Pelodiscus sinensis: one gene and its partners. The protein of the gene in region 3 binds, or shares a complex with, the protein of the main gene of each other region. Links are inferred from orthologs where the notes say so. Each region holds a gene or a part of one and is shown on either strand. Other genes may lie near its edges.

Region 1 (8,072 bases), on a different chromosome or scaffold from region 3:
GCAGGGGACCAGACAACTGGCCTTTCAAAATGGCCTCAGAGTATGCATTTTTAATAGCTAACGATTCTGTGCTTTCATAGCTTCCCTTCTCCCTCCCAGGACAGCCCAAAGATACTTATTACTCACCGTCTCCTTCAATGCCATCTTCACTTTCCTATTGAAAGAGAGAGACACACAAGCATGTTACTGGATGTGTAAAATTTCCAGGAAAATTTCAGTGACTTGCCTATCAGATGTGACCTCACTAGACATCTAGACAAGCTTTTGACAAGAGCCGGGTTGGGGAGATGCCTGTGACCCTGGCACACAGGAGAGTCATCCTGGAAGCTTACATTTAGAACAAACATGGATCTAAGAACTTGGACAAGAGTTTTCCTGAAAATGCATCCAGTTGCATGCACAAGGCCGGCCAGACTGAGGGAAATTCAAGTCCTCCAGGCAAGAAAAGGCAGTATGGAGAGGAGGGGTTTAAAGTGTGGTTAGTCAGTACTGATCTTTAGGGGAAAGAGGCCTACACAGAAATGATGAGCTCCCTTAATAAAATAAAACTAGAATCAGACTGCTGGCTCAGAAAGTTACTGGGGGATTGCTGAAAGCTGGGAATGGGTGACGGGATGATTACCTGTTCTGTTCATTCCCTCTGGGACACCTGGGCTTTGGCCACAGCCTGAAGACAGACTCCTTGGCTAGACAGACCTTTGGTCTAATCCATTCTTATGGATTATTTAAATTAGTGGCTTTCCCCAGCCTCCATGTGCTGAGGAGCACCAAACTCTCACAGCTGCTACAGATGTCAGAAACATAAATGTTAACGTCTGTCTTTATGGGATAGAGAGTAAGACTGAACTGGAGGAGGAGATCAGATCACAGAGGTAAATTCTGGAAAAGAACCAGAGTATCAGACTAAAGGAATTTAATAAAATAGGCTCATGCTCAAAAATTAAAAAACTGTGTATATAATAATGTAAAGGCTAAAAGCAAAAACAGGTGAACTACAAATATACCCGAAAGCAGAATAGGAACATGGTGTAAGAGGTCCGAGGGAATAAGCTACACGGCTATAAACTACACAGGAAGAACAATTAAACTGGACAGATGGGCAGAGCATTATCCTAAAAGACTTCAGAAAAGTCTACGAGGGGTGGGGAACCTCAGGCCTGGGGGCCAGATGTGGCCCTTGGCTTGCCTGGATCTGGACACTGAGACTCAGGGTTCCCCCTAACATTGGGGAGCCTGTGCTGGTGCTCCAATCCAAGCCTCTCTGTGGGGACAGAGCACACACAATCTACTAGGCTGGGGGCCCAGTGGGGGAGAGAGGATTTCCACTGCTTACTTGTGTGTGGCTGATTTTTCCATGGGTCAGCAGCCCCTGACTCAAAAAAGGTTCCCCACCCCTGCTCTAGGGTAATAGTACTGGCCTGCCCATGAAGAGTCAATGACAAACACAAAGAAGAAAGTCTGTAAACATGTCAGAAACAAGAAACCAGAGAGGGAAATGCTAGGTCCACCAAAGGCATAGGCAAGGAGTATTTTCAGCTGAGATTTACACTGTCACTGAAACTTATAAACACTGTGGCATTCATTCAGCTGACAATCTATGAAAACACAAGATTCAATTTTAACACCCTTTCACTCAACATCATTTTACCTGACAGAACCCATTTCAACCATCCTGATTGTTTTACATTTCTCTGAAATCTGAGAAATGTATTGGCTGAGCCATTGTCTTGACGACCAAATTAAGCTTTGCTAACTAGCTCAAAAGTTTCACGAGAAAGGGCTGCAGAGTGACCAGATGGAGATATTCATCTAAAAGTCCAGCCCCAAACCACCTGCACTAACTCATTTTGAACACCAGAGTCTGCATAATCTGTATTGCCACAGTGGAAAGACAGATGAGGAAAGATGTGGTCCTGGAATGAAAAAGATTATTGATGCAGAATTTTTCAAGTCAATGTAACGGTAGTTCCAGACCTACTGTAATGTATAAAGATGTGGCAAGGAGGGTCACTTGGCACATACTCTTTTGCCCTTTGTTACATTGCCTGTCTGTATCAAGGATTGAAGTAAATTCTGTAGCATGTGCACGAGGAAAGGACAGGAGAGGAGTGTGTTGATAAGATCTTTGGACACGGATTAATAAAGCTAAATCCCACTGCGCTGCCGAGATCCTTTTGATAAGGGGCTGAGCGGGGAGGTGGAATCCAGGGCTCCTAATCAATTCCTCTCTAAATACGTCCGCCTTACTGGTCTGGAGGAGGGCAATTTAGCAAGATTTTTAAGATGCGGGGCCGGTAAGCTTGCGGCCTGCCCACGCGCTTCGCACTGCAAAAGGAAAGTGACTAAAAACAACAAGCGAGAGAGGAGGCTCAGTCACACAAAGCGGTTTCCCCCACGGCCCTGCCGCCACCGCGGCGACGAGCAGACAACGGAATTCGAAGACATCGGCCCCAATGAGTTTCTCCCCAGGGTCAAGCCGCGGAGGGGGGGGGATATTACGTTTGGGTGGCAAACGCCCCCCCCCAGCCACATGCAACACTCTGGCCGCTCCCACCTCCCCTGACGGCCCCGCCCCGGGGGCTCAGCCAGCCCGACCTGTGCACAAGCGAGCCCCCCCCAACCACGCGGGACAGGCCCCCCCCGACGCGCGCGGGCCGACCCCTGCCAATGGGGAACCCCCCCGCGGGGAGGGGGGGCAGGCCCCTCCCATCCCTCAGACCCCCCCCCATTGTCGCCCCGCCCCCACTCACACACTCGGACTCCTGCGGGCTCTTGGCGGCCCCGGGCGCGCTCTCGGCCGCGCGGCCCCGGCCCCCCGCGGGCAGGTCCCCGGCAGCGCCCCGGGCCGGCCGGGGGGGCGAGGCGGGCGAGCCGGAGCGGGCCCCGCCGGCCGCGGAGTCGGCGCTGTCGGAGGCGGCCGAGTCGGACTCGTCCTCGCTGTCCTGGGAGGCCCGCTGCCGCCGCCTGTCCGCCATCTTGGGGGGGGCTGTGCGGGGGCGGGCGCGCAGGGCCCGACGGGACGGCGCCGGGACTACAGCTCCCAGGGGCGCACCGCGGCGCCTCCCGCTTCCGGCCCCGCCCGAGAGGGGAGGGGTCACAAGTCCCACTTCCGGGCAGCCCGCTCCGCGGCTCCCGCGAGGCTTTGTCAGAGAGCCGGAGTGCCTGCCCCGCCCTCAAGGGAGCCGCTCAGCGCGGGCGGCCCCACCCCTGCCTGGCGCGGCTGTGACGTCGTGCCGTCGCCGCACGATGACGTCATGTTACCGTCCAGGTGACGTCATTTCCTTGCTTGAAGCGGATTGCAGGCCATTTCCACGATTGAGCCGAGCACTGGGCCTGGGGCCGGGCTGGCTCAGCACACGGGGGCACAGCTGGGACCAGGGGAGAGCCAGGCCTGCGCCTTTCTGCAGGGCTAGGGGGGTCAGATACTTTCACAAAAAATCCAGAACCTGTCGGGGGGAGGAAGGTGTGTGTGGGGGGGAAATTGGTTGAAAAAAAAAAAAGAAGGGGGGGGAAGGACCCAGGCACCCAAATTTGTTGAGCCAAAAACAGTATTTTACTCCTGCAGTATTTTCTGTTGTTTTTTTTTAAACCCAAGAGAAGACGCAATTACCGGACTGTCTGGACAAAAACAGGACAACTGGCAAACCTATGCAGGACTCTACATGATTTGTTTCTTGCATGCACCTAAGTTTTTCCACAAGGGGGTAGCTCAATTTCACACTCCTTACCTTGTCCTGTATGCAGAGGGGTAGTCGTATTCAACCGAAAAAAACCACCACCAAATAGTCCTGTAGCACCCTCGAGACTACAGGTGATATCATGAGCTTGTGTATGCACAACCCACTTCTTGTGCCCACAAAAGCTCATACCACCATCTACGTTTTTGTTAGTCTCGAATTATGGTGCTGAAGGACTATTTGCTGTGGTTTAAGCTTGCCCTGTGTGTCCTTTTCCAGAAAGGAAAACCTGATAACTTGGGCCCTATTCCTCATAGGTAGTTAGGTGTCTAAATTCCCATCGACTCCAGTAGAAATTCAAAGGTATTTAGATGCCTGTGATCAGAGGGGCTACGTCTACACTGGCATGATTTTCCGGAAATGCTTTTAACGGAAAAGGTTTTCCGTTAAAAGTATTTCCAGAAAAGCACGTCTAGATTGGCAGGACGCTTTTCTGGAAAAGCACTTTTGCCGGAAAAGTGTCCGTGGCCAATCTAGACGCGCTTTTCCGCAAAAAAGCCCCGATCATCATTTTCGCAATTGGGGCTTTTTTGCGGAAAACACTACTGTGCTGTCTACACTGGCCCTTTTCCAGAACAGTTTTCTGGAAAAAGACTTTTGCCCGAACAGGAGCAGCATAGTTTTTCCGGAAAAGCACTGATGATTTTACATTAGATCGTCAGTGCTCTTCTAGAAATTCAAGTGGCCAGTGTAGACAGCTGGCAAGTTTTTCCGGAAAAGTGGCTGATTTTCCGGAATAACTTGCCCGTGTAGACACAGCCAGGGAGTTTGGCTACTACCCTAAGACCCGAAGCCTCAAGGATAAATGGGAGTCAATGTCATATCCACATCATACACAAGCACAGAGAGGTGAAGTGACTGGCACAACACTTCACCTCCCTCTGAAGACAAATCATGTTGCTTGCCATCACTGGAACAAGACAGAGGTGCATTGACCACACATCCATCCTTGCACGGTTATCTACCCAACACACTTGTTCTCTTTATGTAAAGTAAGGTGATTCTCTATACATTCCACAATAGGTTCATCTATTTCTTCCTGCATTTAGTATTTCAGCTCCCGAGGTACGCCCTTCTCTCAACTGTTATCTATGAGCAGCAGTGACTTTTCCTTTTCATCCACCCACTCGCTTAAAGATTTGTAAAGAAAGCAACAAAAAAAATGAACTAGGAGCAAGCACCTTCGTGTGGCTCCAGCATTATTGCTCCCTACAGAATTTATTAAGCAAGCATTTGGCAACAGGCCTTCAGCACTTGCCGCACACTGACCCAGACCCAGGAACGATCTGCATTGACGTTTTTAAAGAGCCAAAACAGACTCTCTGAGAAGCCTTTCAGAGCAAATTGGAGTCAGAAAAACAGTCTTGGGAAATATTAAGTGTTTCTTTAAAATACATTTGAATAGTGGCTCCCACATATTTAGCTATGGAATTGAGTGCTGGCTGGTTAGGGTTTCAGCTATTCAGACTGAAGAACCTTAAAATGTAGTTTTGTTTTGGTTTTTTTGAGAGAGACAGACACAAGGCATTAAGGGTAGACTGTTCTTCCAGTTCAGAGTTCTAAGCAAGCTATGGCAGCTGGTTAAAAATTCTAACGCTGGTAACACCATTCCTATGGACAGCACCAAGCATGCAAGAGAGAAGCAAGCTATATTTTTATTGGCTGAGAGAACGTTTCTAAACAAGACATATGCAAAGGGTTTGAGACAAACATGACAACAACATGTACGTGGTTTTTTTTCTATTTTATTGTAAAAAAAAAAATCTCGATTTGTTTAAATTTTTTAAACATACAAGCAGAATTGTTTAATACTCCCCAGTAACACTGTTAATTCTAACAAACTGAAGCAGAAATTCAAAAAATTAACAGCCACAAGTTTATTTACAACTGAACGTTTTTTATAAGATATTTACAAGACGACCAATTTTACATTAGAAATGGTATCAAAAGTATGCATTACAGACAACTAGGTGTCAAATGGCCATAAAACAAGGCTGAAGAATACAGACAAGCTTTTAATTGTATTTAAGATTTTTTTTTTTTTACACTAGCTTAAACTTGGTTAAAGAAAGCAAGGTTTTAAACCAAAGAACGGTTCTAATAGGGAATTGCAGGGCCTTCCATTGCAGATTGAGTTTCACAGTGTTGCACCCCATATTGGGAGAAATAAGACTTTTTCCCATGCCAACACTCACTGAAAATTTAACTTGGTACTTTCCCTCCAACCTACTCCCTGCCCACACACCCCATCTGTAGCTAACGACTGCTGGATAGATATCTATGAAAGATCATTTTTATAAAACATGGCTGCCTGTCTGGAGTTTAAAAACCAGGTGTGCCCTGGGAAATCAGGACCACTGGGACTTTAGTCTGAGGTCAAGCAGCTACCAGCAGATACCTCTCAGAGCTAGCTGTCACTGGGACGTAAGTGTTCTGACCCCTGAAAAGCCACGAATGCAGGGTATAACCAGAATGCAAAACCCACCTGATGCAGACCTGAAAGAGACAACATCAAGGAAAGAAAACAAGGCTCAAGCTTAATATTTGCCCATTTAACATGTTGGCTCCTAATTGCACAGAAATCCATTAAGAACACACGCTATCATGCGAAAGCAGGACACTCAAGAACAGCCTTATTTAAAAAAAAAAAAAAAAAAAAAGCGCAGTGCATAGCCCTAATGTTTCAGGCTATGTGGTACCAGGGTCCATGTCTCAAAAGATTTGCCCCTTTCATGTAGATTTCAGACCGTCTTTCAAACACCATTCCTACAGGAACCCTAGCACGGCCCACTGCCGTGTTGTAAGAATCAACCTCTCTCCCAAATTGCATAAGAATACATCCCAGTTCACAGGGAAAAGGAGGGAAAAAAACGCCACATTTTGTATTTGTGCATTACTATTTATAGCCATTTGAACCAAAGCAGGGAGAGAAGATTGCTGGCCTTAGACAACACTAACAACTCCAAAGGAACAATCAGAATGGAACATTTCTTCCCTGGCCCACGAACATTTTCAGAAATGACGTTAGCTCCTCCCCCAGCCGCACACATGTCAGAGGTAGGACAAGAACGGTGGAGCAATCTGACAAGCAAGCCTTGTGCACGAGAGTAACAGGCATGCTCTCTGTAGCAGCCAAACATTCCCCGGCCATCTGCCTTGACTCCATTCTGCTGTTAAGTCTGAAAGGTGATGGAGAATCCTGCCCCAGAGCATTTGGTATCACCACTAGTGTAGAACAACAATGAAGGCTCATTTCGTAAAGGAAGCAAATTACTAGAGCTAAAGCATAGGGACCACTCTAATTTTCTCTAGCCAATCCAAGCGTCTGACAAGATACGCGAGTTGCCAGCCACTGCTGTCCTTAAAACACTGAAAGGAAAACAAATCACCATTGTGCGTCTCGAATTCTGTTTTCACCATCAAAAACGTTTCCCACCCCCTATAGCCAGTTGGTCTAGAACCCGGCAGAGCAGCTGGCAAATAGGCTCATCTGGAGAAGTGTTTACGCACTGGCCATGGCGCAAGGAGAGTCTCGCTACAGAAAAGTGCAGAGAGTTGATTTCTGACCCAGGTTAACTAACCAGGTGTGTCTCATGGCAACAATGGGATGCAGCGTTCACTCCAGTCATGCTTGGCGAGACACAGCACATTCAGGACCCTCTGCCAGCCTCTCTCAGGGAAGTGGGTATTCATAAAGTTAGGTTCACTCATTTATTTAAAACCAAATCACCTATCTAGCACAACACAGGCACCGTACTGGCAGCCTGACCTGCCAGGCAAGAGGAAAATGCAGCTGACTTTACACTCCTCGTAGGTAGGTTCTTTACACCACAGAACTTCAAAGTGACAGCGTGATAAGCTTGCCTGCTGGTCCCATCTGCAAGTTCTTGCCAGGCAAGGTTTGGCCTGCTGGTTTCCCTCGCTCGGAGCTCTCAGCTGCATGTCTGAGAAAATAAACGTCAGCTTCAGAAAAGTGATGCGCACCCTGTGCTGAGCCAACGCCCAGGCAGGCTCGCAGGCGGGACAGGTATCAAGGCAGGCCTGTTTTTAGGCTTCTCAACCGTCACAAGGCCTCTTATGAGCTGCAGTGGCCACAGCAGCTGATGAAGTTTAGGCAGACGGCCTGAGCTTCCAGCACTGCTGCTCCAGCATAAAGCTTGAGAACTTGATGGTAAGAAAAGCAGGAGGGGGGAGAAATAAATAAACCACAGTTAGTCAGCCAGGTAAAGAATTTTGTGACAAAAAAACCAGAATGATGGGAAAGATACAGAGGCGTGGAGAAAACCGTCAAGGAGTAAGAATGTCCATAAGGGTAAAGATTCACAGGACTGAATA
Region 2 (7,717 bases), on a different chromosome or scaffold from region 3:
TCGGGTTAGAGCAGGGGAGGGGGGCTTTGGGAGAGGGGCATCGGGTTAGAGCAGGGGAGGGGGGCTTTGGGGGAGGGGCATCGGGTTAGAGCAGGGGAGGGGGGCTCTGGGGGCGGGGCATCGGGTTAGAGCAGGGGAGGTGGGGCTCTGGGGGCGGGGCATCGGGTTAGAACAGGGGAGGGGGGTTCTGGGGGCGGGGTATCGGGTTAGAGCAGGGGAGGTGGGGCTCTGGGGGCGGGGTATCGGGTTAGAGCAGGGGAGGGGGGCTCTGGGGGCGGGGTATCGGGTTAGAGCAGGGGAGGGGGGCTCTGGGGGCGGGGTATCGGGTTAGAGCAGGGGAGGGGGCCTCTGGGGGAGGGGCATCGGGTTAGAGCAGGGGAGGGGGGCTCTGGGGGCGGGGCATCGGGTTAGAGCAGGGGAGGGGGGCTCTGGGGGCGGGGTATCGGGTTAGAGCAGGGGAGGGGGGCTCTGGGGGCGGGGCATCGGGTTAGAGCAGGGGAGGGGGGCTCTGGGGGCGGGGCATCGGGTTAGAGCAGGGGAGGGGGGCTCTGGGGGGCGGGGCATCGGGTTAGAGCAGGGGAGGGGGGCTCTGGGGGCGGGGCATCGGGTTAGAGCAGGGGAGGGGGGCTCTGGGGGCGGGGCATCGGGTTAGAGCAGGGGAGGGGGGCTCTGGGGGCGGGGCATCGGGTTAGAGCAGGGGAGGGGGGGCTCTGGGGGCGGGGCATCGGGTTAGAGCAGGGGAGGGGGGGCTCTGGGGGCGGGGCATCGGGTTAGAGCAGGGGAGGGGGGCTCTGGGGGCGGGGCATCGGGTTAGAGCAGGGGAGGGGGGCTCTGGGGGCGGGGCATCGGGTTAGAGCAGGGGAGGGGGGCTCTGGGGGCGGGGTATCGGGTTAGAGCAGGGGAAGGGGGCTCTGGGGGCGGGGTATCGGGTTAGAGCAGGGGAGGGGGGCTCTGGGGGCGGGGTATCGGGTTAGAGCAGGGGAGGGGGGCTCTGGGGGCGGGGCATCGGGTTAGAGCAGGGGAGGGGGGCTCTGGGGGCGGGGCATCGGGTTAGAGCAGGGGAGGGGGGTTCTGGGGGCGGGGTATCGGGTTAGAGCCGGGGAGGGGGGCTCTGGGGGCGGGGTATCGGGTTAGAGCAGGGGAGGGGGGCTCTGGGGGCGGGGTATCGGGTTAGAGCAGGGGAGGGGGGTTCTGGGGGCGGGGTATCGGGTTAGAGCAGGGGAGGGGGGCTCTGGGGGCGGGGCATCGGGTTAGAGCGGGGGAGGGGGGCTCTGGGGGCGGGGCATCGGGTTAGAGCGGGGGAGGGGGGGTTCTGGGGGCGGGGTATCGGGTTAGAGCGGGGGAGGGGGGGTTCTGGGGGCGGGGCATCGGGTTAGAGCGGGGGAGGGGGGGTTCTGGGGGCGGGGCATCGGGTTAGAGCAGGGGAGGGGGGCTCTGGGGGCGGGGCATCGGGTTAGAGCAGGGGAGGGGGGCTCTGGGGGCGGGGCATCGGGTTAGAGCAGGGGAGGGGGGCTCTGGGGGCGGGGCATCGGGTTAGAGCAGGGGAGGGGGGCTCTGGGGGCGGGGCATCGGGTTAGAGCAGGGGAGGGGGGCTCTGGGGGCGGGGCATCGGGTTAGAGCAGGGGAGGGGGGGCTCTGGGGGCGGGGCATCGGGTTAGAGCAGGGGAGGGGGGCTCTGGGGGCGGGGCATCGGGTTAGAGCAGGGGAGGGGGGCTCTTGGGGCGGGGCATCGGGTTAGAGCAGGGGAGGGGGGCTCTGGGGGCGGGGTATCGGGTTAGAGCAGGGGAGGGGGGCTCTGGGGGCGGGGTATCGGGTTAGAGCAGGGGAGGGGGGGCTCTGGGGGAGGGGTATCGGGTTAGAGCAGGGGAGGGGGGCTCTGGGGGCGGGGTATCGGGTTAGAGCAGGGGAGGGGGGGCTCTGGGGGAGGGGCATCGGGTTAGAGCAGGGGAGGGGGGGCTCTGGGGGCGGGGCATCGGGTTAGAGCAGGGGAGGGGGGCTCTGGGGGCGGGGTATCGGGTTAGAGCAGGGGAGGGGGGCTCTGGGGGCGGGGTATCGGGTTAGAGCAGGGGAGGGGGGCTCTGGGGGCGGGGTATCGGGTTAGAGCAGGGGAGGGGGGTTCTGGGGGCGGGGTATCGGGTTAGAGCAGGGGAGGGGGGCTCTGGGGGCGGGGTATCGGGTTAGAGCAGGGGAGGTGGGCTCTGGGGGCGGGGTATCGGGTTAGAGCAGGGGAGGGGGGCTCTGGGGGCGGGGTATCGGGTTAGAGCAGGGGAGGGGGGCTCTGGGGGCGGGGTATCGGGTTAGAGCAGGGGAGGGGGGTTCTGGGGGCGGGGTATCGGGTTAGAGCAGGGGAGGGGGGCTCTGGGGGCGGGGTATCGGGTTAGAGCAGGGGAGGGGGGCTCTGGGGGCGGGGTATCGGGTTAGAGCAGGGGAGGTGGGCTCTGGGGGCGGGGTATCGGGTTAGAGCAGGGGAGGGGGGGCTCTGGGGGCGGGGTATCGGGTTAGAGCAGGGGAGGGGGGGCTCTGGGGGCGGGGTATCGGGTTAGAGCAGGGGAGGGGGGTTCTGGGGGCGGGGCGAGTGCATTGGGGTATTTTATAAACACAGGCTGAGAGACGCTGCTCTAGAGCGACCCCGGGGGGAGGCGGGGTCAGAGCCGGGCGTGGGGGGGGGGGGGGGAGGGGGGCGACGCTGGACTCAGAACCAGGCAGGATGGGGCGGGGCGAGGGGGCGGGGCCTCCAGCGCAGCCCCAGCCCCGCCCCGAGTTCTGGGTCCGCACCACCCGAAATAGCGGTGGGGGGGGGGGCGCTACCACTGGGGGGGGGGGGGGGGGGAAGATTCCAGCTCCGATAGATCCGGGCGGGCCGGGGGGGGGGGTCGGACCCAGACTCGGCCCAGTTGGGCGGGGCCGGGGGGGGTTCGGTACCGTCCCCATCCTCGTCCATGGCGAAGTCCTCGCCGCCCGCCTCGTGAAGATCCAGCACGTCCGCCATCTTGCCGCCGCTCCGCTGCCCGCCGCTGCCACAGAAGGGACGGGAAGACCCGAGCCGAGGCCGCGCTGCACGGCGGGAAAGGGGAGGGGCCGGAAGTGCCTCTCCAGCAAAAGGTAACTGCCGGGAGACCGCCATCTAGGGAAGGGCACGCGTCGGCCATGGGCGGCCGCCATCTTGGTAGAGTCACGTCCTCCTCCCTGCTGGGAGCCGCCATATTAGTAAGGTCAGGATGTTCTTCGCCCTCTCGGCGCCATTTTGAGAAGGGCAGGAGATAGGCTCATGCTGCGCCCTCTCCCAGTAGCAGCCAGCTGCTGTCTCACAGCAGCCAGGCCAGACCCCTCCTCAGCTGCACCTTGGACTTGTCCCCCATTTGGAGACTGTCTCCTTCCTACTTCCCTGCTCCCATCCCCTTGGGGCTCCCCCCTCTGATGCATCAAACCCCCAGCAAACCCCCCCTCCGGCAAGCCCCCCATGGTACCTAGCCTGCTCACATTGGTAGCATCCCCTCCGCTCGCGCTCCCGTGACCCCCTCACATGCCCACGTGGGGCAGGGCAGACGGCTGCTGTATTTCCACCCATTTTCATCTGTCATTGCTGGAATGGCCGCCCTGGGAACACGGCAGCGCCTTCAGCTGGACACACCACGTTGACATTAGAGAGCCCAGCGCATTGCGATAATGCTGCAGTTGAGGTGTACAAAAAAGAGAATCCCTAAAAGGAAAAGCTCAAATACAGAGGTTTCTCCTCCATCCACAGATTAAGGACAGTGAAAGCAACATCATTAGGGTTGCCACCTGTCTGGTTTTGAACTGGACAGTCCAGTATTTGAGCTTTCCGTTTGGGAAACAAATTGAGAAAATACAAATGAGAAAATATAAATGTCCGGTATTTTCTAAATCAGATGTAATGTAGATTGTGATATAATGTCAAATGTGTCCAGTATTTTTGTTGAAACCATCTGGCAACCCTAAACATCAGTACATATTTCTCCAGTACATTACTCCACCCTAAGGGGTGTTAGTTGGACTGGTGACAGCCTTTCCCAATCCCTGTACCTCTTCCAGGAGTCTGATTTCAGTTGCTTCCCCCCCCCCCCCCCCCGTTTCACCTCACTTAAAAACAACTGGCTTACAAAAATCAGACAAAAAATACACAAGCATCACAGCCACACAATTATTGAAAAAATTGCTGACAATCATATAAATATTGGAAGATAAATATTGTACTCATTTCTATTTCTGTACTGTACGTAGCACATAAGAGTAGTACAAACAAGTCACTGTCTGTATGAAATTAGAGTTTGTACTGGCCTCGCTGGTGCTTCTTTATGTAGCCTGTTGTAAAACTAAGGAGCTCTCTAGAAGAGTTGATGCGTCTCCTGGAAGACTCCTGGTTGAGAACCACTGTCTTGGATGATCTTTCCCCCAGCCATTCACTGCATGGGCAGAGGTGACAACTAATTGCCGTGCACGGTTTTGCTGATAGGGACACCTGTTTAGTGAAAACTAGGAGAACCACCCCCATCCCCCAACTCATTTGATACAAGCTAGCACCCCCCCTGTGATTCCCTAAACTCAAAATTGGCCATTTACAGGTGAAGCAAACTTCACCCACTACTGCAGTGTGGCTCTGGTGGTTTAATTTCTCAGCTCTCATCTGAAATGGCCACATATGGAGATCTCATCTTATCCTAACACAGGGGACTGCCAAAGTTACAATCCTTTCTCCAACAGCTCACAAAGGCCAAGTGGTTTTGGACAGCATCTGGTCTACGTGCAGCAGATGCTGCATCTGCCAGTGGGATGAGCCTGGCTGTCCCCTTCTTCTAGATTTAAAAAAAACAAGCCTCACAGGGAATCTAATCACAAATGAGGCTACCTCACCTACTTTTTGAGAGTGAAAACAAATGTCCCACTGGAAGCAGGTTGTTGCCTGCTTTTGCAGCAGGTTGGTACGTTGTGACATTTTGCCTCCTTCCCACTCCAGGGAGGGCAATGCAAAGCAAACATCGTCTCTTCAGAAACCTTTAAACCAAGGTTGGTTTAGCAACACCCAGGGCAGCTCTTCAACTGCCCACAATCCTTGGATGCAAGCCATGTTGATTATGTCCAAGCTGGTTATCACACTCAGAGAGAGGGGAGTGCTAGAAATACAGGCAGTCCCCGGGTTACGTACAAGATAGGGACTGTAGGTTTGTTCTTAAGTTGAATTTGTATGTAAGTCGGAACTGGTACATATTGTAGGGGAAACTCTAGCCAAACATTTCTCCAGAGCTCAGTTTTATTCTCCCACACCTCACTTCCCTCAGTCCTTTATTCTCAAGCTGAGGTGTCTGCTGAGAAAAGCCGCTCCGCGTCTCCCTAGTCTGCTGGGGGGGGGCGCTAGCTCCGTGTCTCCCTGGTCTGCTGGGGGGGGGGCGCTAGCTCCGCGTCTCCCTGGTCTGCTGAGGGGAAGCAGCTAGTGCGGGGTTGCCTCACCCCGTTTGTAAGTAGGAATCCAATGTAAGTCGGATCCATGTAATCCGGGGACTGCCTGTAGAATAAAGCTGTTTTTGATTTACGGATGTCTGGGATACAAGGCAGTAAAACTTAGGCTTGATCTACACACAAAACATAGGCTGAGGTACATTCCTTAAAAGGTGTGAAAAATTCACTCACACACACAAGACATAGTTAACCCATCCTACGTCCTGGTATAGACAAGGAAGGATGACAGCAGAATTCTTTTGGCAGCCCAGCTACAGTGCCTTCACAGGATAAATTTACTACAGTGATGGGAATCCTAGAATACTAGAACTAGAAGGGACCTTCAGCGGTCAAAGTCCAGTCCCCTGCCCTCACCACAGAATCAAGCACCATCTAGATCATCCCTGACAGGGTGTTTGTGTAACCTGCTCGTAAATATCTCCTGTGATGGAGATTCCACAACCTCCCTCAGCAATTTACTCCAGTGTGTAACCACCCTGACAGTTAGGAAGCTTTTTCCCCAATGTCCAATCTAAACCTCCTTTGCTGCAATTTAAGCCCATTGTCCTAGCATCAGGGGTCAAAGAGAACAATTTTTCTCCCTCCTCTTTATAACACCCTTTTAGATACTTGAAAATTGCTTTCATGTCCCCTCCCCTCTCAGTCTTCTGTCTTCCAAACTAAACAAGCCCCATTCTTTTAGTCTTCCCTCATAGGTCATGTTTTCTAGACCTTTCATCATTTTTGCTACTTTGTCCAATTTCTCCACATCTTCCCTGAAATGTGGTGCTGAGAATTGAACACGATACTCCAATTGAGACACAATCAGCACAGAGTAGAGTGGATAAATGACTTCTTGTGTCTTGCTCACAACACTCCTGTTAATGCCTCCTAGAATCACGTTTGCTTTTTTTGCAACAGCATCCCACTGTCCACTCATATTTAGCTTGTGGTCCACTATGCCCCCTAGATCCCTTTCTGCAGGACTCCTTCCTAGACAGTCGCTTCCCATTCTGAACAGCTGTGTCTAGACTGGCAAGTTTTTCCGCAAAATCATGTGATTTTGCAGAAAAAATTGCCAGCTGTCTACACTGGCTGCTTGAATTTCCGCAAAAGCACTGACGATCTCCTATAAAATCATCAGTGCTTTTCCGGAAATACTATGCTGCTCCCGTTCGGGTAAGTCTTTTTCCGAAAGACCTTTGCGCAAGAGGGCCAGTGTAGACAGCATAGTACTGTTTTCGGCAAAAAAGCCCCGATCGCAAAAATGGCGATCGGGGATTTTTTGTGGAAAACTGTGTCTAGATTGGCCACAGATGCTTTTCCACAAAAAGTGCTTTTGTGAAAAAGCATCCTGCCAATCTAGATGTGCTTTTCCAAAAATGCTTTTAACGGAAAACTTTTCCGTTAAAAGCATTTCCGGAAAATCATGCCAGTGTAGACGTAGCCAACGTGTGAAACGGATTGTTCCTTCCTAAGTGGGGTACTTTGCATTTGTCCTTCTTAAACTTAATCCTGGGCGCACTGAGCTCAACTGGTGTCTAGAAGGACCAGGAGCAGCCAGGTGCCGAGAGGGTCAACCCTTCAACGGCCTTACGTCTCGGTGCCACCAGTTGTGCCTATGCATCAGCGGGGATCTCCCCTGTGCAATCTCCTTTTCTTTGGCACCGAGGATTGGGATTGGTGCCTCAGAGCCATGGTCTTCTGCGGAGCTGTAGGGCGTATCCGTGCCATGAAAGACTCGCACTATCGGTGCTGATTCTGCTACCGGCTGCAGCGCAGAGCAGTTTTAAGTAGGAATCTCATTCCCTTTTGGTGCAGGGATTGAAACAGATTTACAAATCTACAGATTTTACAAGACTCTGCACGGTGGCCCACCCCCAGACACTTCAGGCTAGAGTTGTGGGGGGGTCCCTGCAGGGCATGGCCTTCAAACAAGTCGCACAAGGTTTAAAACCCTGTGGACCTGGCATCCCCTCCCCAGGAAGGGAGAGAGAAGCGATGAACCCGCTAACACTAATTACTTAGCCTGTGTTCTTAGTTGTGTAAATAGTTATCTACAATGCTAACTATATGCACGTTGGGCAATTGGGAAAGCACAAAGATGCTCCAGCTACCCTCATGGGCAGTAAGAAGGAACTGAGGGAGGAGAGGGCTAGCAGGGGTATTTATGCACCGATATACAGGTGCCACTCCAGGGGGGCCCCTGCTGCCCCGAAGGGTACTGCTGGGGAAAAAAGCTCCAGAATCCGTGCACCTCATT
Region 3 (6,905 bases):
GGGCAGAGGGAGCACGCCCTGAGTGGTGGGGGGGGGCGGGGGGAGACTGCGGGCGCCCCAGGCCAGTGAGGGCTTGGGGGCAGAGGGAGCACGCCCTGAGTGGTGGGGGGGGGCGGGGGGAGACTGCGGGCGCCCCAGGCCAGTGAGGGCTTGGGGGCAGAGGGAGCACGCCCTGAGGGGCGGGGGGGGGGGGCGGGGGGAGACTGCGGGCGCCCCAGGCCAGTGAGGGCTTGGGGGCAGAGGGAGCACGCCCTGAGGGGCGGGGGGGGGCGGGGGGAGACTGCGGGCGCCCCAGGCCAGTGAGGGCTTGGGGGCAGAGGGAGCACGCCCTGAGTGGTGGGGGGGGGGCGGGGGGAGACTGCGGGCGCCCCAGGCCAGTGAGGGCTTGGGGGCAGAGGGAGCACGCCCTGAGTGGTGGGGGGGGGCGGGGGGAGACTGCGGGCGCCCCAGGCCAGTGAGGGCTTGGGGGCAGAGGGAGCACGCCCTGAGTGGTGGGGGGGGGCGGGGGGAGACTGCGGGCGCCCCAGGCCAGTGAGGGCTTGGAGGCAGAGGGAGCACGCCCTGAGGGGCGGGGGGGGCGGGGGGAGACTGCGGGCGCCCCAGGCCAGTGAGGGCTTGGGGGCAGAGGGAGCACGCCCTGAGGGGCGGGGGGGGGCGGGGGGAGACTGCGGGCGCCCCAGGCCAGTGAGGGCTTGGGGGCAGAGGGAGCACGCCCTGAGGGGCGGGGGGGGCGGGGGGAGACTGCGGGCGCCCCAGGCCAGTGAGGGCTTGGGGGCAGAGGGAGCACGCCCTGAGTGGTGGGGGGGGGGCGGGGGGAGACTGCGGGCGCCCCAGGCCAATGAGGGCTTGGGGGCAGAGGGAGCACGCCCTGAGGGGCGGGGGGGGCGGGGGGAGACTGCGGGCGCCCCAGGCCAATGAGGGCTTGGGGGCAGAGGGAGCACGCCCTGAGTGGTGGGGGGGGGCGGGGGGAGACTGCGGGCGCCCCAGGCCAGTGAGGGCTTGGGGGCAGAGGGAGCACGCCCTGAGGGGCGGGGGGGGGCGGGGGGAGACTGCGGGCGCCCCAGGCCAGTGAGGGCTTGGGGGCAGAGGGAGCACGCCCTGAGTGGTGGGGGGGGGCGGGGGGAGACTGCGGGCGCCCCAGGCCAGTGAGGGCTTGGGGGCAGAGGGAGCACGCCCTGAGTGGTGGGGGGGGGCGGGGGGAGACTGCGGGCGCCCCAGGCCAGTGAGGGCTTGGGGGCAGAGGGAGCACGCCCTGAGTGGTGGGGGGGGGCGGGGGGAGACTGCGGGCGCCCCAGGCCAGTGAGGGCTTGGGGGCAGAGGGAGCACGCCCTGAGTGGTGGGGGGGGGCGGGGGGAGACTGCGGGCGCCCCAGGCCAGTGAGGGCTTGGGGGCAGAGGGAGCACGCCCTGAGTGGTGGGGGGGGGGCGGGGGGAGACTGCGGGCGCCCCAGGCCAGTGAGGGCTTGGGGGCAGAGGGAGCACGCCCTGAGTGGTGGGGGGGGGGCGGGGGGAGACTGCGGGCGCCCCAGGCCAGTGAGGGCTTGGGGGCAGAGGGAGCACGCCCTGAGTGGTGGGGGGGGGCGGGGGGAGACTGCGGGCGCCCCAGGCCAGTGAGGGCTTGGAGGCAGAGGGAGCACGCCCTGAGGGGCGGGGGGGGCGGGGGGAGACTGCGGGCGCCCCAGGCCAGTGAGGGCTTGGGGGCAGAGGGAGCACGCCCTGAGGGGCGGGGGGGGCGGGGGGAGACTGCGGGCGCCCCAGGCCAGTGAGGGCTTGGGGGCAGAGGGAGCACGCCCTGAGGGGCGGGGGGGGCGGGGGGAGACTGCGGGCGCCCCAGGCCAGTGAGGGCTTGGGGGCAGAGGGAGCACGCCCTGAGTGGTGGGGGGGGGGCGGGGGGAGACTGCGGGCGCCCCAGGCCAATGAGGGCTTGGGGGCAGAGGGAGCACGCCCTGAGGGGCGGGGGGGGCGGGGGGAGACTGCGGGCGCCCCAGGCCAATGAGGGCTTGGGGGCAGAGGGAGCACGCCCTGAGTGGTGGGGGGGGGCGGGGGGAGACTGCGGGCGCCCCAGGCCAGTGAGGGCTTGGGGGCAGAGGGAGCACGCCCTGAGGGGCGGGGGGGGCGGGGGGAGACTGCGGGCGCCCCAGGCCAGTGAGGGCTTGGGGGCAGAGGGAGCACGCCCTGAGTGGTGGGGGGGGGGCGGGGGGAGACTGCGGGCGCCCCAGGCCAGTGAGGGCTTGGGGGCAGAGGGAGCACGCCCTGAGTGGTGGGGGGGGGGCGGGGGGAGACTGCGGGCGCCCCAGGCCAGTGAGGGCTTGGGGGCAGAGGGAGCACGCCCTGAGTGGTGGGGGGGGGGCGGGGGGAGACTGCGGGCGCCCCAGGCCAGTGAGGGCTTGGGGGCAGAGGGAGCACGCCCTGAGGGGCGGGGGGGGCGGGGGGAGACTGCGGGCGCCCCAGGCCAGTGAGGGCTCCGCACTTAGTCCCGGGTGCCCCGTGCAGGGCGGGGGGGGAGCCAGGCCCTTCCTGCTCTCCCTCCCCTGGGGGCAGCGCCAAGTCTCCTCCCCCCCGCCCTTCAGAACAGCCGGCAGTTGGGGGGGGGAGGCAGCTCACGCACCCCCAGGCCAATCAGGGGAGCACAGAAGTGTCCTGGCCCCCGCCCCTTCCGCCTGAGGCCCCGCCCCTTCCGGGGCAGCCCAGGGCCAGTTCAAAACCGGCCAATAACCACCGCCCCTCCCCCCCGGCCCGAGGGCTGCTCGGCGCGCGGCGAGCGAAGCGCTGCGCAGGCGCGGCCCGCGGGGCAACGGCCGCGGCGAGGGGAGCCCGCGCGAGGCCCGGCCCCTCCCCCTCCCGCGAGGCCGGCGCGCACCGTAGGCGTAGATGCCGCGCAGCAGGTCCTCGCGCAGCCCCATGGTGTCGAAGGTGGGGGTCACGTCCACCTCCTCGCTCGTCTCGAACTCCACCTTGGTCATGTCCTCCTCCTTCAGCAGCCGCTTGCGGGCCGCGCCCGCCGCGCCCGACATGGCCGCTCCGCCTCGCGCCCAGCCTCTGCCGCGCGCCTGCGCCGCGTGACGGGGAAGGCGAGCCTCGCTGCGGAGCTGGCCCCGCCCCCAGGCGCTGGCTCCTCCTCCCGCCCTAGGACGAGCCGGGGGCGGGGCGCGGAGAGCAGAGGCCGCCGCGGGGCGGGGCAAGGGGCGGGGCGTGTGCCCACGTGTCACCACCAGCGCTCCCGGGGGGGCCTGGCCCCGTCAATTCACATGGGGGGCGGGTCCCGCTGCGGCCCCAGGGGCTACGCCCCCCGCCCCGCCCCCCCAGGCTGCTCGGGGCCGGCCGGGCGCACAAAGGCAGCAGAGCGGGCCCGGCAGGAGGCGAGTCCCGGCGCCACGGGGAGGGGCGCTGAGGCGGACGGGCCCGGCACGCGCGGCTGAGGTCTGTCCCGGGTGTGTGACACCGGCACGGGGGGGCCGCTCCACCTCCAGCTTCCTGCGCGGGGTGCGGGGGGCTGGGCCGGCCCCGGGGGGTGCGGGGTGCTGGGCCGGCCCGGGGGGTGGGGGGGGTGCGGGGTGCTGGGCCGGCCCGGGGGGTGCGGGGTGCTGGGCCGGCCCCGGGGGCTGGGGGGGTGCGGGGTGCTGGGCCGGCCCCGGGGGGTGCGGGGTGCTGGGCCGGCCCCGGGGGCTGGGGGGGGTGCTGGGCCGGCCCGGGGGGTGCGGGGGGCTGGGCCGGCCCGGGGGGTGGGGGGGTGCGGGGTGCTGGGCCGGCCCCGGGGGGTGGGGGGGTGCGGGGTGCTGGGCCGGCCCGGGGGGTGCTGGGCCGGCCCCGGGGGGTGCGGGGTGCTGGGCCGGCCCCGGGGGGTGCGGGGTGCTGGGCCGGCCCCGGGGGGTGCGGGGTGCTGGGCCGGCCCCGGGGGCTGGGGGGGGGTGCTGGGCCGGCCCCGGGGGCTGGGGGGGGTGCTGGGCCGGCCCCGGGGGCTGGGGGGGTGCGGGGTGCTGGGCCGGCCCCGGGGGGTGGGGGGGTGCGGGGGGCTGGGCCCGCCCCGGGGGGTGGGGGGGTGCGGGGGGCTGGGCCCGCCCCGGGGGTTGGGGGGGGTGCTGGGCCCGCGCCGGCCGGCCCGGGGGGTGCGGGGCGCTGGGCCGCCCCGGGGGGTGGGGGGGGTGCTGGGCCCGCGCCGGCCGCCCCGGGGGGTGGGGGGGGTGTGGGGGGCTGGGCCCGCCCCGGGGGGGTGCGGGGTGCTGGGCCCGCGCCGGCCGCCCCGGGGGAGGTGCTGGGCCCGCCCCGGGGGCTGGGGGGGGTGCGGGGTGCTGGGCCCGCCCCGGGGGCTGGGGGGGGGTGCTGGGCCCGCGCCGGCCGCCCCGGGGGGTGGGGGGGTGCGGGGGTTGCTGGACCCGCCCCGGGGGCTGGGGGGCTGCGGGGGGCTGGGCCGGCGCCGGCGGCCCCGGTGGCTGGGGGGGTGCGGGGTGCTGGGCCCGCCCCGGGGGGTGGGGGGGTGCGGGGTGCTGGGCCTGCCCCGGGGGGTGCGGGGGGTGCTGGGCCCGCCCCGGGGGCTGGGGGGCTGCGGGGGGCTGGGCCCGCGCCGGCGGCCCCGGGGGGTGGGGGGGTGCGGGGTGCTGGGCCCGCCCCGGGGGGTGCGGGGTGCTGGGCCTGCGCCGGCCGCCCCGGGGGGTGGGGGGGTGCGGGGTGCTGGGCCTGCGCCGGCCGCCCCAGGGGCGGGGGGGAGGTGCGGGGTGCTGGGCCTGCGCCGGCCGCCCCGGGGGCGGGGGGGGGTGCGGGGTGCTGGGCCCGCGCCGGCCGCCCCAGGGGAGGTGCTGGGTTTTCTCCCCGTGATAACTGGGTTTCTCTGGGGTGGGTTGTGCGTCTGTGGAACATCGCTGGGCCTGTGATAGTGTCTAGGTCTGGCCATGCTTAGTACAGTTGCTTGGCTCGTTTGTGTCTAGCTCTCTGCTGGTCCCTCGCATTCCTTCCGGAGCTGCGATGCTGCTGCTTCTGCCTTTCTCCCTAGGCCTTGCCGCAGCCGAAGGGTGCTCAGATAGCCAGGACCTGCCTGGCAGTGCCAAGCTGTAATGAGCGGGGGGTGAAAGGAAATGATCCAGAGCTGAGACTGCTTGTCCGTTCCAGTCATTTGTGAACTGTCTGCAAGGCCAAAGGTGGCTTGTGTTCCAGTTCCAACACTGTTCCGCAAGGTGTGCTGCACCCATCTACACTAGGACGCTGATACATGAAATAAGCAGCAGGTGCCCCCCAGTCAGAAATAAAAGTGGCTTAACTGTCCAAGTCTTTTGGTAACTGCGCTGAGAATGATTTTGTCCCATCTGGCCCCTCCTAAGCCATTTCTAACACTGACTGAAGTCATGTGTCACATAGAATCACGGACACTCATCCAGTCCAGTCCCCGCCCTCACAGCAGGACCCAGTACCAGGGTTGCCAACCGTCTGTAAATTTACAGAGAGTCCGTAATAGCTGAGAACTGGTATCCAGGGCCCCTTCTCCCAGTGCAGATGGGACTCTGGAGAGTTGGAGCGTGTGGCTCTAGTACATAGCAAAGTGCACAAATGAACTTGGCCCAATGGAGCCCACCTTGTGGGTGTGATGCCGGTTGGGGGGGGGGGGGGTATGTCTGACGGCACTTGCTGCCAGAGGGTCACCTCACTAAGGTGGAGGGACTCTACATTGCCTTGCATTTGTCAGCTTCATTTTTTCCCCTTTATTTCTTCAACTGGACTATTTTGCACTGATTTTCTTTGTAGCCTCATCGCTGAGCCGCTCCCATTGGCACAACGTTGGCTCCTTCGCACTTCAAACTCCAGAGTGGCTGTTGCCTCTGTAGAACAAGGGAAGGGAGGGGTTGTGTGTAGAACAGTCCATATGAAGGACTGCAGGCCAGTAGAATTCTGGAGCTTTCAAAGTTGGTAGGGCCAAGACTTGATTTATTGGAACAAATCACATCAGCCAGTGTCCATTTGGTTTCTTTTCATTAGGAGTCCACACACACGTGGAGCCCACTGCAGGTTCAGACCGTAGGGCTTGTGTGCTGGGTAGTGTCCAGCGCTTTTTACAGAGAAGTGTACACAGCTGATTGTGAATATCTTGTGTAAGCTGGCTACCCTCTTGTCACATCTAGCGTGAAAGGCAGGCACTTCTACTTGTCTGTTGGGGCTGAAGCTGCAGAACTAGGCGAGTTTCCTTTATTCCTGCAGCTAATTTGGTTTTCTTTAGCGTGAGTGTAGAGCTTCTTAAGGCCTGGATTGTGCTACCCTTACACACCTTGAGTAATCGTTCTCTCTGTGAATGATCAGATTCCTGTGAGGCTACTTGGAGAATAAAGTGAGTAAGACGCTGCTGAAAACAGAAATGGAAACCACAGTCTTTGATTTGTACTTGGAACCTGGACAGCCCTGCCACGCCCCCCTCTCGATTCCCTGGAGATCCTGCTGGGGCGAGGGAGCCCCTCTCTGATCCTCTTTTAGTTCTAACTGAGACCGGGTTCTGCCTTGATGCCCCTGAACAAGAGGTGCAACGTGCACAGATACCGAGACCAAACATTCTTTGCTGCACGTATAATGCTGACCCATGTGTCATTGTCCCTTTTCCTGTGCACCCACTCAGGAAATGCCGCCCAGACTGCTCCTTCACTCGTCCCCTTCCTCCAAACAAAGGGCGTCAAGACGCTGTTCCCTCTGTTTTCCCTCTGTGTGCAGAATACATTTTGTTCTGTGCACCAAGGCACGTGCAGATGTGCACCACCAGTAGGAATACCTGCTGCCAGCTGGGGGCACGCTGTTAATTGGCTGGGGGGCATTTTAATCTCTCCTGGGCAGCCACCCAAGTGCTTCACTTTCAGGGAACGGTGCCTCAAGGCAGTGACAAAATACAGGACTATGTAGCACTTTAAAGACTAACAAGATGGTTTATTAGATGAT

Evidence for each region.
Region 1: the proteins of EIF4A3 (region 3) and CASC3 are in contact, whole or in part, in a crystal structure (PDB 2J0U), measured with the Homo sapiens proteins. The link is inferred for Pelodiscus sinensis from reciprocal best matches to the Homo sapiens genes EIF4A3 and CASC3. Residues at the interface, in NP_055555.1 of Homo sapiens: Thr178, Arg179, Lys198, Ile201, Tyr202, Tyr205, Arg206, Tyr207, Leu208, Pro209, Pro210, Thr212, Lys231, Phe232; in NP_031385.2 of Homo sapiens: Arg217, Trp218, Glu219, His220, Asp221, Lys222, Phe223, Glu225.
Region 2: EIF4A3 (region 3) and RBM8A share a complex: the UniProt entries of both Homo sapiens proteins name them as parts of the ALYREF/THOC4-EJC-RNA complex. The link is inferred for Pelodiscus sinensis from reciprocal best matches to the Homo sapiens genes EIF4A3 and RBM8A.

The regions. Positions count from the first base shown.
Region 1 is NC_134739.1:10,950,527-10,958,598, forward strand, and holds the start of CASC3 (protein CASC3), read right to left. Parts: upstream 3,096-8,072; 5' UTR 2,976-3,095; coding exon 2,751-2,975; intron 155-2,750; coding exon 127-154; intron 1-126. UniProt on the Homo sapiens protein: Required for pre-mRNA splicing as component of the spliceosome. Core component of the splicing-dependent multiprotein exon junction complex (EJC) deposited at splice junctions on mRNAs.
Region 2 is NC_134734.1:19,820,823-19,828,539, reverse strand, and holds the start of RBM8A (RNA-binding protein 8A), read right to left. Parts: upstream 3,082-7,717; 5' UTR 2,990-3,081; coding exon 2,923-2,989; intron 1-2,922.
Region 3 is NC_134713.1:198,331,055-198,337,959, forward strand, and holds the start of EIF4A3 (eukaryotic initiation factor 4A-III), read right to left. Parts: upstream 3,066-6,905; 5' UTR 3,014-3,065; coding exon 2,860-3,013; intron 1-2,859. UniProt on the Homo sapiens protein: ATP-dependent RNA helicase. Involved in pre-mRNA splicing as component of the spliceosome. Core component of the splicing-dependent multiprotein exon junction complex (EJC) deposited at splice junctions on mRNAs.